Linked DNA regions of Cricetulus griseus. Each later gene encodes a partner of the first gene's protein in a complex. Links are inferred from orthologs where the notes say so. Each region holds a gene or a part of one and is shown in the gene's direction. Other genes may lie near its edges. The genes, in order: Flt3 and Flt3lg.

Evidence for each region.
Region 2: the proteins of Flt3 (region 1) and Flt3lg are in contact, whole or in part, in a crystal structure (PDB 7QDP), measured with the Homo sapiens proteins. The link is inferred for Cricetulus griseus from reciprocal best matches to the Homo sapiens genes FLT3 and FLT3LG. Residues at the interface, in NP_004110.2 of Homo sapiens: Asp180, His279, Gly280, Phe281, Gly282, Met300, Ser301, Thr302, Tyr303, Asn306, Arg307, Met309, Arg311, Ser333; in NP_001191431.1 of Homo sapiens: His34, Ser35, Pro36, Ile37, Ser38, Ser39, Asp40, Lys44, Lys87, Glu99, Asn102, Thr103, Glu104, His106, Phe107.

The regions. Positions count from the first base shown.
Region 1 is NC_048597.1:83,194,155-83,197,383, reverse strand, and holds part of Flt3 (receptor-type tyrosine-protein kinase FLT3), read left to right. Parts: intron 1-259; coding exon 260-371; intron 372-735; coding exon 736-835; intron 836-3,229. UniProt on the Homo sapiens protein: Tyrosine-protein kinase that acts as a cell-surface receptor for the cytokine FLT3LG and regulates differentiation, proliferation and survival of hematopoietic progenitor cells and of dendritic cells.
Region 2 is NC_048599.1:154,016,633-154,019,184, reverse strand, and holds the end of Flt3lg (fms-related tyrosine kinase 3 ligand), read left to right. Parts: intron 1-1,058; exon of another isoform or gene 1,059-1,137; intron 1,138-1,805; coding exon of another isoform or gene 1,806-1,813; coding exon 1,814-1,939; 3' UTR 1,940-2,026; downstream 2,027-2,552. UniProt on the Homo sapiens protein: Stimulates the proliferation of early hematopoietic cells by activating FLT3. Synergizes well with a number of other colony stimulating factors and interleukins. Required for the development of B cells, and dendritic cells (DCs).

The DNA.
Region 1 (3,229 bases):
TGAAGTAGTTTTGTGGTTGGGGGTCACCACAACCTGAACTGTATTAAAGGGTAGCAGCATGAGGAAGGTTGAGAACCACTAGAACTCAGTTCCAGAGAGAACTGACACCCCCTTGTGGCCTTCTCTGGCACTGCATGCATGTGGTGCACTTAAATCTATGCAGACAAAACACCCATGCACATAAAGCTAAAAACAAAAACTTAAAAATCCATGATTCTGCACATGGGAGATTCACCATCCTCTCTTGTATTTGATGCAGGCACGGCTACCTGTGAAGTGGATGGCACCCGAGAGCTTATTTGAAGGTATCTACACAATCAAGAGTGACGTCTGGTCCTATGGAATCCTTCTCTGGGAGATATTCTCACTGGGTATGTATGCACATGGCAGGTCTCCCAGGGCTCTGGCTTTGTGTCTCCTGCTCCCTCTGCACCCCTCCTCCACCCTTCTGTCATCCAAGTCAGAAGGTAGGTGAAACACCACCCAGTCGCTCCAGTGGCTCCTGGCCTCGCTTCTGGCTTCTGTTGTCACTGTTTATGAGTTGTTGACCTGCCAAGATCTGCCTTAACTATGACTGATTCGGAGGCCTTGGGACTTCTGGGTCCACTTGCAGCCCTCAGTCAAGGTCACTGAGGAATTCTCTTTGCCTGTTTGCCAACAGAACATATAAACGTCAACAACAAAACATGGAAAACCAATGTTTGTGTGGCCCCATTGAGCTTGTGTTTTTCTCAGGTGTGAACCCTTACCCTGGCATTCCTGTTGATGCTAACTTCTATAAACTGATTCAGAGTGGATTTAAAATGGACCAGCCATTCTATGCTACGGAAGAGATGTAAGTACAATCAGACTGGGGGTTGATAGCAGGACATTTACTGTGTGCTGTAAATCTTCCAAATGCATGATACAACAATTGATTGTGGGGGTTGGGGATTTAGCTCAGAGGTAGAGCGCTTGTGGCAAGCGCAAGGCCCTGGGTTCGGTCCTCAGCTCTGGGGGAAGAAAAAAACCAAAATAACAAAAAAGAACAACTGATTGCTTTGTTTGTTTGGTTTTGGTTTTCTGAGATGGTTTCTCTGTGTAGCTGTCCTGGAATTTACTCTGTAAACCAGGCTGGCTTTGAACTCAGAGATCTTCCTGCCTCTGTCTCCCAGTTGATGGGATTAAAGTCATATATCACCACACCCAACTAAAAATCACTTTCCTATTACATTGCTTAGGTTTCTTCTTATTTTTTTTAAGATTTATTTATTTATGTATTTGGATGTTTTGTCTGCATGTACATTGGATCCCATGAGACAACAGTTACAGATGGTTGTGATCCACCATGTGGTTGCTGGGACTTGAACTCAGGACCTCTGGAAGAGCAGTCAGTGCTTTTAACATGTGAGCCACCTGACCCGGCATTGGTGGTGTGCTCCTTTAATCCCAGCACTGGGGAGGGAGAGGCAGGCGGATATCTGTGAGTTCGGGACCAGCCTGGTCTACAAGAGCTAGTTCCAGGACAGCCTCCAAAGCCACAGAGAAACCCTGTCTCGAAAAAACAAAACAAAACAAAACAAAAAAATCAAAAGACACATTTGAGCCATCTCTCCTGCCCTTGATCTCTAAAAGCAGAGAAAGCTTGGTGCAGTGGCACATGTCTTTAATCCCATGTAGGCAGGCTTTTCTTTTTGCACCACCAGCTGACAAAAAATGACATGGAGACTTATTATTAATTATGAAAGCTCAGCCTTAGTTTAGCCTTGCTCCTAACTAGATCTTGTTAAATAAATAAATAAATAAATTAACCCATATTTTTTAATCATCGTTCTCTTATGTGGCTCAGTTACCTTTATTCTGTGCTCCCCATCCTGCTTCCTCTCTGCCCAGCTGGTGACTCTGCCTTTTTCTTCCCAGAGCTCTCTCTATCCAGAGTCCCGCCCATACCTCCTGCCAATCACAGTGACACATCTTCACACACTGTAAAGGAATATTCCACATTTCCCCCTTTTGTCTAAATAAAAAAGAAAGGTCTGTTTTTGTTTGTTTGTTTTTTCGAGACAGGGTTTCTCTGTGGCTTTGGAGGCTGTCTTGGAACTAGCTCTTATAGACCAGGCTGGTCTCAAACTCACAGAGATCCTCCCGAGTGCTGGGATTAAAGGCATGTGCCACTACCGCCTGGCAAAAATAAGAAAGGTCTTAATTCTAATATGGTAAACCTATAAACAATAGGAACAGTTATCAGGTAAGAATTACATTCACAGGCTGGAGAGATAGCCCAGTGGTTAAGAACACTAGCTGGTCTTCCAGAGGTCCCTAGTTCAATTCCCAGCAACCACATGATGACTCACAACCATCTGAAATGAGATCTGGTGCCCTCTTCTGGCCTGAAGGGATACATGCAGACAGAACACTGTATATATAATAAATCTTAAAAAAAAATTACATTCACAATGTCCAGTCCAAATTTAGAGAAAATACTCCATTATCTATCCTATCTTAGTCCAAAGTTTTATACCTAAACCATTTTTGTCATGACTTACATTACATCTTTTTAGACCTTAAAACATCTTTTTAGATAAATAACTTAAGTTTTTATGTTTCTCAACCTTATAAACTTTACATCTCTTATGTAAGTTTTTTTTTCTGAATTTGATAACAAGGAAAACTCAAACTATAACTATCTAATCTTCAATCCGCAACAGAGACTCAAGAAGGATAAAATATTACCTGAGTAAGCAGGGAGTAGAAAGAAAGCAGTTTCCAAAACTATAGAAATGACAGAGACATTTGGCTGTCTGGAGAGTCACCCCAAGGTTCCTCTGCAATGCCACATCTTTACACAGTGTAAGGGTTTTCCACAGCATCCCAGCATTGGGAGGCAGAGGCAGGAGGATCTCTGAATTGAAGCCAGTCTGGTCTACCTAGTGAGTTCAAGAACAGCTAGAGTTTCAAAACAGTGATACCCTGTCTTGAAAAAAATCAATCAATCAATGAAAAGTTTCAAGAGACAGGAGGAAGAAGCAGCAGGAAGGGCTTGGGGATAGTTGCCTATAATCCCAGCACTTCAGAGATGAGGCTTGAGATAGTAGGCTAGCCTGTCCTAATAGCAAGGCTATAAACAAACAAGCAAGCAAACAAACAAATAAGACAAGCAGAGAAAAACTTTGTCTTTTGCTTCAGGTAACTTTGCTCTCCTAACAGGCAGTACTCCAGGGCTTAAGACTCCTTTGCTTGCAGCATCTGA
Region 2 (2,552 bases), on another chromosome or scaffold:
ACCACACACGGCAGCAGAGAGCCTTGGAAGGCTGTGAAGGAAGAGTAGTGTGGGGAGAATAAACAGGAGGCAGGGAAGAAGGCGAGAAGGCCGGTCCCCACTACAGGTGCCCATATTTTAGAATTGTGTGTTTTACACTCATAATACGCATAATGTAGAGGTTAAACCTGTAATCCCAGCACTTGAGAGGCCAGAGCAGGAGGACTGCTGAAAGGTCTGACCAGCCTGGGCTACACAGTGAGTTCAAGGCCATTGTGAGATACACAGTGCACCCTTGTCTCCTGTCTCAAATAAACAAACAAACAAACACTCAGTTCAGTGACACTTATTTTTTTTGCAATGGCTCAGTCAGTATGTTGCCCAAAATGACTTTGAACACCTCCATGAATCTTCCTGTCCCAGCTTTCCAAATAGCTGGGCCTATAGACATGTTATAGATGAGGCTTTTCTTTTTCTTTTTTCATTGTTTTCTGGATGCTAGAGGTAGGGATCAAAACAAGGAACAGGCTAGACAAACACTGTGCTGCTCAGCTGCATCCCCTGCCCAGAGGACATGATGTCCAAGCATGGTGATGAGTATCTGCAGTTCCAGCACTTCTGAGGCTGGAGCACTGACGTAGAGAAAGAACAAGGGAGAGAGAAGAGCATTGTAGCCCTGGGCGGTTCTCCTGTCAGCCCAGCTCTGGGTATGGTGCTGCATGCCTGGAATCTATTCCAGAGGAATCAAATGTCAAGGCCAGCCTGGACAATTTAGAGATATTTCTCAAAATAACAGTGAGAAATTGAAATGCTGAGCTGGAGCTGATGACAGGGCCCTTGCACAAATAAGGCTCTGGCTTCCACCTGCCACCACACAGTCACTAGAAACACTTCATCTGCACTTAATATTTACACTGCCAAATTAGACCCGCCGTCGGCTTAGTTAAAACAAGCTGGAAGTTTCTAAATTTTGTGGTTTCCCATTTTCTGGGCATGTTTCTGAAATGCACACCACTTATCAGACATAGTGGTACATATTTATAATCCCAATCCTATTTATTTATTATTTTTTGAACTAGTGTCTCTGTAGCTCAGATGGCCTGGAACTCCTGGGTAATCCATTCTCCTGCCTCTACCTCTGGAGTGCTGGGATCACAGGTATGTACTATCACACCAGACAGTAATTCCTCTTTTGAAAAATTTACACTCAACCCTCCCCAAACAAATAAAAATTATTACACATAGGGGCTGTGTAAGTGTACCATGGTGCCTGTGTACAAGTCACAGGACAACTGGCAGGAGTTGGTCATGCTCTCCTTCTACCAGTGGGCCCCAGGGATGGAACTCAGGCCTTCAGGCTTGGTGGCCGAGGCCTTTTATCCTTTAAGCCAGTTTGAGGGCCATGATTTGTTTATTTGTTTGTTTGTTTTGAGACAGGGTCTCTTGTAGTCCTATCTGATTTGGAACTGCTGTGTAGATCAGGCTGGCTTGGAACTCAAGAGATCCACCAGCCTCTGCTTCCTCAGCCATAGGATTAAAGGTGTGTGTCACCACACCTGGCTGTAAGACTCCCTTCGGAAAAAACAAAAACAAAAAACTTGGAGTAGATTTTGTGGTGCAAGTCCGAGTTCCTACACCCTGGAGGGGAGGCAGAAGGGTCAGGATTCTGGGTTATCTACTAATACACAGAAATTCGAGGCTAGCCTAAAGGGGGGTGGGGTGGGTGTAGGGAGGGGCAGGGAGAGGTGGGAGGGTGTAAGCTCAGTGGTAGAGGGCTTGAAGGGTGCTGAGAACTCCAGTCTTCAGACAGACCATTGATGATCCAGTTTTACAGAGGAGGATACTGAGGCCAAGCAGGCGTCACCTGACAGATGTTGCACAACCTGGACACAGGGAAAGTTGGGTAGAGCCTGGCCCCTTCTTGGACCTTGCTGCCCCTCCAGCCCTCTCCCCAGGATGAAGTCAACATCAGGACCCAGCCCCACTCACCCCACTCTGTACAAACTCCTTGCTCCCATGAATTTGTATATAAATGGTTTTTACCAGATCTTCCGGACCTATCTGTGGACGGGACAGGGAGTGGGTGGGCTGCTTTAGGTCTCAGGATCTTGGTTTTGCGGGGCTTGGTCATGTAATCCCACCTCCCCAGAAGCTGAGGCAGGATCTCAAGTTTAAGGCCAGCCAGGATTGCAGAAATACTATGTCAGAAGCCAAAACCACGACAACAGGTTTGTTTTCTGAGGCCACCAATGGCCCAGGGTCAGCACTGGGTGATGCTCTCTCTAACAGAACCCCGATGTGAGGCAGAAGCAAGATCATAAAGCCACCAAGTGGCAGGAAAACAAAGTGCTGGAGCCTCCAGGAGGAATCGAGTCAGGCTGGGGAGTTTGGGGAGGTTCTCTAGAGAAAGTGAGTCAGTGAGACGGCCCAATCTGTGTTTTGTTGTGGGAGGTATAGGTACCCCTCAGGGAGGGTATCTCAGATGGCATGCTTAGCCGATACAAAGGCCATTGCAACAGAAGCACGTGTCTGCGGCCCAGGACCCTGCAAGTCCTTCCTCCCACCGTCTCTTC